Linked DNA regions of Cricetulus griseus. The protein of the gene in region 1 interacts with the protein of each later gene in a biochemical or structural test. Links are inferred from orthologs where the notes say so. Each region holds a gene or a part of one and is shown in the gene's direction. Other genes may lie near its edges. The genes, in order: Cflar and DNA-binding death effector domain-containing protein 2.

Region 1 (3,821 bases):
AAGTCTGCTCGCCCAGTTGTTTTCAGAGCTGTTAGTTAGAAAGGGAAGTACTGTGTGTCCTACTGCAAACAAAGGAAAGGCCAGGTGTGGTGGGGCAGGTGTGTAATTCCAGCACCTGGGAGGCAGAGACAGGAAGATGGGAGGTAGTGAGTGGTCTGAGGCAAGTCTGTCTACACAGTGAGTGCTAAGACAGTCAGGGCTGCATCGCAAGGGGTCTCAAAAAACCAAACCAAGCAAACAAATGGAGGAGGATGAGTTTTCTTTTTGACTTTTTAAATAGTCTCTTGGAGGACTATCAAGGCTTCCTGCTTTATAGAGTAAGGGCACACTCCATGGGACAAGAATTAGTCTAGATGTTGGCCTTGATGAGGCATGGGCTCTTAGATTCTTGTGTGGGTTTACTAAAGAAACTTTTGGGATTTACAGAGTGCTGATGATGGAGATTGGTGAGAATCTGGATAAATCCGATGTTTCCTCGTTAATTTTCCTTACAAGAGATTACACAGGTCGAGGCAAGGTAACCAAGGACAAGGTAAGTTGTCTTTTCTAGATGCCCATTCCAAAGAGCTGTGAGAAGTAGGGCCTACTCCTTGTGGAGAGAGGGAAGTGGGCAGCTTGCTGCCGTGGTTTCGGGAGCTAGGCATCTCAGATGGTTTCTCTATAACACTGGAAGCAAGAGAATGAGTTTTTAATTGAGAAGAAAATAGATTGGTACCTGTGACCTTGGGTGTTTCTTTTATGCTTAGATTTGGTCCTGACTTCTATAAAAGTCACAGGCCTGTCAGGGCAGTGGTGGCACATGCCTTTAATTCCAGCACTCGGAGGCAGAGACAGGGGATCTCTGTGATTTCGAGGCCATCCAGGACAGCCAGGGCTACACAGAGAAACCCTGTCTCTAAAAACAGTCACAGGTCTGGCTTCTATGCCAGTTCTCTGATTTGACACTCTCCTCTGGGAGAAGGATTCCTATCTGCTTTAGTGGAGTGGAGACCTGAAGGGCTTGCTGGTCCACTCTCATTTGCTGGCCACTGCTGTTTTATTTCTCTCAGTGGCCTGTGGAGGTGGGGAAGTGGCTAATGTGTAGATTAGGATAGAAATGTGGTGACCATATTAGAGTTATTGGGGTTGCTGGAAGAGTGTTTGAACTCCTGGTATGGTTAGCCAAAGGATGGGCCCAAAAAAATCTTTGTCTTTGGGAGTGACAGTAAGTCTTCCAAGAGGCTACCCTGCCTCTAAGAGTTTTCTCAGGCTCCTTGATTTTAGGAATATAGGAGAACAGCATGTTCCCACATCAAATATAGAATGAGGAAGAAAAGGAAAACAGGAGTTATTTGGGGGGGGGGTTTCCCTAATCAACTTTTCAATTTATATGTAATTATGCTTATTGTCTTTGTGAACTAATGATTAACAGTTAAGTAACCAAATGTTAACCATCAGCAAAATAAAATTCAAAGCAATGCTTACTTTGGAAGTCTAGTTTTTTTTAATGATCCTGGTGTTTCGGGTTGAACGAGTAGGAGAGCCCCACCTTTTCTGGTGGCCTTCTCTTGAGACAGAATGATTTGGAATGTCCAGCATCAATGAAAACACTTTAAGAACTTTCAGATGGCATTATGAAGATTTCCCATATCAAATTTTCCTCAGTTAACCCCCCCACACACCCACACATTCTGAGACGCCCTTATGGTGTGTGGTGTTGGGGATCAAGCCCAGGGAATAGCTATGCATGCTAGGCAAGGACTCTACCCCCTGAGCTACAGCCGTAGCCCCCCATCTCTTTGAGTGAAACTCAGGAGGGTGATTTGTTCTGGGCAGAACTGTCTGGATTGGGATCTCCAAGGGTTACCCGAAGGTCTCATCTTGTCACCTTTTCCTGCTGTTATGAGCAGATGGCCTGGAGTTTGCACTGGAGACTTGTTGGCTCCACTCATGTGTGTTTCTTGTTGGTGACTCTTTTAGAGTTTCTTGGATCTGGTGATTGAACTGGAGAAACTGAATCTGATTGCTTCAGATCAATTGAATTTATTAGAAAAATGCCTGAAGAATATCCACAGAATAGACTTGAAGACAAAAATTCAGAAGTATACGCAGTCTGGTAAGAAATTTGGCTTCTCAGTGGTCTTTAGTGCACAATAGGAATGGTTGGTGGAGTCATTTGCTGATACATGGTCGAAATAGAACCTAGGCATCCCAGCCCCCTCTAGCCTATGTCAAGAAATTATATTCCTTTATAGCCTTCATATCCCAATATTCCAACCCCATTGGCAAGTCTCCTCCCTCTGAAAATTGCCACCAAGCAGGTCTTAACATTCTGGCCTTTAAAGAAGTCTGTGTCTCTGTTTTTAAAGGGTAGAGAGAGAGACTGTGAACATTTATGACTTGGATTGTAGGTTGAACCCTGTTATCCGGCTCCATGTTGGACCTGATGACCACCGTCCAACTATGGGCAGTGTCTCTGGGTCTGATTGCTGTCCTACACATGTGGTCTGTGTCTCACTTAACCTCATGGAAAAGGTCACTTTTGTTTTTTTCTTTAATAAAGTGGGTTGGCCTTGTCCCTTACACTATTACCATAGGGTCACAGGGTAAAGATCATGACAGAAACTTGCTTATAATTCTGAATGACAATCAGAAATAGGAATAGTCCTTAATTTTCTTTTTAATTTACAAACATGCTCATATATTATTTGTGTGTGTGTGTGTGTGTGTGTGTGTGTGTGTGTGTGTGTGTGTATGTGTGTGTGTGTGTGTGCGCGAGCCCATGTACACACATGTATGCATGCCTACATGCCATGTGGGAGTGAGTCATTTCTTTCCTTCCACCATGTGGGAGGAAATTAAGTTGTCAGACTTGGTGGCGAGTGCTTTTATCCACTGAGTCAGCTCAGCCATCCTGTTAGTCATTTTTGCTGATGGGCAGAAGTCATCTGAGCTGATGATGTTTTGAACTCAGATGGTTCAGGTCTAAGGTGTTTTGAAAGATGACGATCGACTGGGACTGAAGCATTGTTGAAGACTCACTTGACAATTTATGGACCTTAGCCCCTCTCTCTGTCTTTACAGGCCAAGGAGTAGGATCAAATTATATGAACTCTTTCCAGGCTTCTCTTCCAAACTTGAGTATTAAGGAGCCTTCATATAGTTCAAGGGTGAGTCTGGAGCCAGTGTGCGGAGTGCTAGCATGAACCGGTTTCAGAGATGTAATAAAAGTGTGCATCTCATTTCATGTGTTGTAAAAGCTGAACAAATTATGTAGACATGTATTTTATTAAGAATGTGTGCAACTTCTTATGATTATAAACCTTAAAAAATGCTCAGCTGGTGGGTAGTGATGGCGCACGGCTTTATTCCCAACACTCGGGAGGCAGAGGCAGGCAGATCTCTGTGAGTTTGAGACCAGCCTGGTCTACAAGAGCTGGTTCCAGGACAGCCTCCAAAGCCACAGGGAAACCCTGTCTCTAAAATAATGTGTCTGTTACTAGGTATTACTACTATTAATATTTTGGGATACTTCCTTTTGCTCTCACTCTTATGTGCATTAGTAAATGTGTCTATTTATATATTGGACTTTTTTTTTCATTTTTTGTTTCTTTGAAGATTCACTTTTAAAATAAAAGTAGATAGTATGTACCTATAGAGAGAAAAACTTAAATGTCCCCAAAGAGATTTTAAAATTGTGTTTTCTTCCTACCCCATAATACTCATGTCCCAGTTTCTTGACCATGCAGAGATGGTCTACATACATACAGTAATTCTTAGACATTGTACCATAAAGTTCATATGAGATCTCACCCTGTAACACAGCCTTGCTTGGAATCCAA
Region 2 (4,469 bases), on another chromosome or scaffold:
CACACACACACACACCCAGACTTAAATCACGATCCAGTGAGCACACACACACACACACACAGACACACACACACACACAGACTTAAATCACGATCCAGTGAGCACACACACACACACACACACACACACAGACTTAAATCACGATCCAGTGAGCACACACACACACACACACACACACACAGACTTAAGTCACGATCGAGTGCACACACACACACACACACACACACACACACACACACACACACACACACGAGACTTAAATCACGATCCAGTGAGCACACACACACACACACACACACACAGCCTTAAATCACGATCCAGTGAGCACACACACACACACACACACACACACAGACTTAAATCACGATCCAGTGAGCACACACAGACACACAGACACACACACACGAGCTTAAATCACGATCCAGTGAGCACACACACAGACACACACACACACACACACACACACACGAGACTTAAATCACGATCCAGTGAGCACACACACACACAGACACACACACACACACACACAGACTTAAATCACGATCCAGTGAGCACACACACACACACACACACACACACACACACAGACTTAAATCACGATCCAGTGAGCACACACACAGACACACACACACACACACACACACGAGACTTAAATCACGATCCAGTGAGCACACACACACACACACACACACACACACACACACACACACAGAGACTTAAATCACGATCCAGTGAGCACACACACAGACACACACACACACACACAGACACACACACACACACACACACACACACGAGACTTAAATCACGATCCAGTGAGCACACACACACACAGAGGGACACACACACACACACACACACACACACACACACACGAGACTTAAATCACGATCCAGTGAGCAAACACACACACACACACACACAGCCTTAAATCACGATCCAGTGAGCACACACACACACACACACACACACACGAGACTTAAATCACGATCCAGTGAGCACACACACAGACACACACACACACACACAGACACACACACACACACACACACACACACTTAAATCACGATCCAGTGAGCACACACACACACAGAGGGACACACACACACACACACACACACACGAGACTTAAATCACGATCCAGTGAGCAAACACACACACACAGCCTTAAATCACGATCCAGTGAGCACACACACACACAGACACACACACACATACACACACACACGAGACTTAAATCACGATCCAGTGAGCGCACACACACACACACACACACACACACACACACACACACACACACACACACACACGAGACTTCAATCACGATCCAGCGAGTGCCAGAAGCGGCGACGCTCAGCCGCGGCGGCGCAAGCGCGAGCGCGGCGGCCCGGGCGAGCCCGGGGAAGGCAGGCGGGCGTGGGGAGGGGCGGGGACACGCTTCGGTTGGGGGCGGATCCCGCGGCCTGGAGGGGGTGGAGCTTGGAGGCCTCACTCTGCGCTTGCGCCGTAGGGGCGCGGCGCTCGCACCTGCTCGCGTTGGGCGAAGTCGGGGGGAGGAGCGAGGTGACGCAGGCGTAATAATAGAGAAGGTGCCAGAAAAAGAGCCAAAACAAGTGGCCGCCGCCGTGCGTCGCCGGGGAGTCGCTGGACGCCGGGATCTGGTGAGGATCCAGAGGGGCCCGAGGGCGACTGGTGGCGGCGGGCGGATGGGGACACTTGCCGGGGTGCCGGGGTGAGCGCAGGGCCGGCCTGCCGGCCTTGCGGGGCGAGCGGCGGGGTGCGAGCGGGACCCCCTGTGTGGCGTTCGGGGCTGGCTCTGCGGGGGTCCCTTGCAGAGGCTCGGGGTCCGGAGGGGGGGCGCGGATGAGCCGCACCGCGGGGGTGACCCGGGGCGAGCGTTGGGGCTGCCTGGAGGGAACCGGTGGACAGAGCCTCGGGCCCCGCCTGCACGTTCGCCTCCCAGAGTCACCGGGCCGGGGACAAGGTGCCCTGGCCCGGGCCACCGGGCTCGTTGGGGCCGATGGATCTGTGGGTGGCGAGTTCGGAGCCCACCCACCGCGAGAGGGGGCGCGTCCGGGCTGCGCTGGCCCGGCTGGCTGCTCGGTGGACCGAGCGTCTCGACCTGTTACTTGGGGACCTCGGGTGGCACCATTCCCGTCCCCGGGAGGGGGAGGCTCAGGCCGTCGAGGGTGTGGGGTCACCCTGCCCGGTGTGTGTGTTGGGGGGGTGGGGACACACGCTGGCCCGTGTGCGCGCTGGGGACCACCGCGTCGCTGACCACGACATCCTCCCCGCTGTGTGGGTTCCAGGCCCTGGTTCTGAGCTTGTTCCGCACCCCTCCCCTGGGAATGGCGTTGTCCGGGTCGACCCCGGCCCCGAGCTGGGAGGAGGATGAGTGTTTGGATTACTACGGCATGCTATCGCTTCACCGTGTGTTCGAGGTGGTGGGCGGGCAGCTGACCGAGTGTGAACTGGAGCTCCTGGCCTTCCTGCTGGATGAGGCTCCCGGCGCCCCCGGAGGCCTGGCCCGCGCCCGCAGCGGCCTGGAGCTGCTTCTGGAGCTGGAACGACGCGGCCAGTGCGACGAGAGCGACCTGCGGCTGCTGAGCCAACTCCTGCGCGTGCTGGCCCGACAGGACCTGCTGCCACATCTGGCCCGCAAGCGGCGCCGGCCGGGTAAGGTTTGCATGGGAGCGTGCACGACTTGTTAGGAGCGCCTTGCTCCTAACTGGGGCCTGCGGTGCGCTGACCCCCCAAAAAGGGAGAGGGGCACCACTTGGGTTAGGAGTGTCAGTGATGATTGTGGCCACTGTGTGTGGGACTTTGTGTGCCGGGCCGAGGTTAAACCTTTCATATAAACTGTCACCTTTTAGCCTCCTCACCGTACAGGGAAAACAGCAGGCTCAGAGAAGTTATCTTACTGCACGCAAGAACCGCATCCTTTCTGTGTTGGCTACGAAGAAAATAAGGCCAAGATGCCCGTTCCGTGAGGCTTGCATTAGTAGAGGGAGTCAGTTAATAATAATAAATAAGGAACTTAGCTTTAGATAGTCATAGATTGAGTGAGATGGATACAAAACAAGGGGGGGTGGCCCTACACTGGGTAACGATGGAGGAATATTCTTCCAAGGTGATGACATTTAAAACAGGGGTGGGGATGGAAGTATGCCACACGTATAATATTTGTAGCAAGTGAGGGGCCTAGCTAGGATTCAGACCTTCCTGGGCTGTGTCCAGGGTTGGAACAGAAAGGGAAGAGCTGGGAGGGGTCAGGTATAGGAGGCCTGTGTATGGGTAGGCTCTTGGGCTCTTTCTCGAGAGATACAGTGTGTCGTTCGGGAGGGGGGGAGGGGGATTATGAGCTTTCCTGTCCCATAATGAGCCTGTGGGATTTGCTTAAACAGAAGGGAGGGTGCCTCTAGAGATAGGCTGTCTTGATTTTGGAAAAATATGTCTGAGTGTTGGGCTCTAGAACAGAAGCAGAAAGGCCTACTTGTATTTAGGGGCTCCAGACTGAGCCAGGAGCAGGTGGGGACAGAGGCCATTGCAGGGACCTGGGCTACTAAAAGAAAAGGCCTGGCAGCTGGAGCTGTTGACATGGTTGGTCAGCCCCATGAGCACTGTCCTGGGAGGCCTCAGCAATGTCGGGGTAGGAGGCGCTTGAGGATGCGTGGGTGTTTAGGCGTCACCTCCGAGGACTGGGGTTGGGCGTTCTTCCTGGAGGTTTCCAGCTGTGGCTACTTCTTCCATTCTCTCTCCCCAGTGTCCCCCGAGCGCTACAGTAATGGCAGTGCCGCCTCTTCTTCCAAAAGCGCAGAGGGCAGCTGCCGGCGTCGGCGACAGCCAAGCAGTTCTTCTCAGCAGAGTCAGTGGGACACGGGTGAGTCCACCGGGTGGGTAGGGTGACAGTGTCCCTGTCTTCTTCCCGAACTGGCATCCTGGCCCATCAAGGAAACGGCCTGAAGGGTCATTCTGACTGTTTTGCGGTGTGTCTGCGTTTGTTGTCGCTTATAGGAAGAAGCGTGTGCCCTGAAGTGGTATCACGTGGACCCATGTGACCTGGCAGCCTTGGCTGGGATTTATTTTATGGTGAATGCCTTTAATTAGTTCAATTACTGTATTCCAGTTAGAGTAAACAATCCCCTAATTTTTAATTATGTGAAATTTCAAACATCCAGAGAAGTTAAGATAGTATAGAGAATATCTTTGCTTGGATTCAGAAATCACTAACATTCTGTTGCTTGTGCTGTGTGTGTGTGTGTGTGTTTAGAAAGTTGTGAAGTTTTTGGTTTTTTGGAGACAGGGTTTCTCTGTGTAGCTTTGAAGCCTATCCTGGCACTCGTTCTGGAGACCAGGCTGGCCTCGAACTCACAGAGATCCTCCTGCCTCTGCCTCCCAAGTGCTGGGATTAAAGGCATGCGCCACCAACACCCGGCAGTTCTGAGGTTTTTGTTGAGCTCTTTGGTAGT

Evidence for each region.
Region 2: the proteins of Cflar (region 1) and DNA-binding death effector domain-containing protein 2 form a complex in vitro, tested with the Homo sapiens proteins (2 studies listed by BioGRID). The link is inferred for Cricetulus griseus from reciprocal best matches to the Homo sapiens genes CFLAR and DEDD2.

What each region holds. Positions count from the first base shown.
Region 1 is NC_048595.1:413,040,290-413,044,110, forward strand, and holds part of Cflar (CASP8 and FADD-like apoptosis regulator), read left to right. Parts: exon of another isoform or gene 1-98; intron 99-114; exon of another isoform or gene 115-317; intron 318-426; coding exon 427-532; intron 533-1,959; coding exon 1,960-2,095; intron 2,096-3,063; coding exon 3,064-3,149; intron 3,150-3,821. UniProt on the Homo sapiens protein: Apoptosis regulator protein which may function as a crucial link between cell survival and cell death pathways in mammalian cells. Acts as an inhibitor of TNFRSF6 mediated apoptosis.
Region 2 is NC_048602.1:9,965,300-9,969,768, reverse strand, and holds the start of DNA-binding death effector domain-containing protein 2, read left to right. Parts: upstream 1-1,504; 5' UTR 1,505-1,661; intron 1,662-2,309; 5' UTR 2,310-2,348; coding exon 2,349-2,676; intron 2,677-3,763; coding exon 3,764-3,880; intron 3,881-4,469. UniProt on the Homo sapiens protein: May play a critical role in death receptor-induced apoptosis and may target CASP8 and CASP10 to the nucleus. May regulate degradation of intermediate filaments during apoptosis.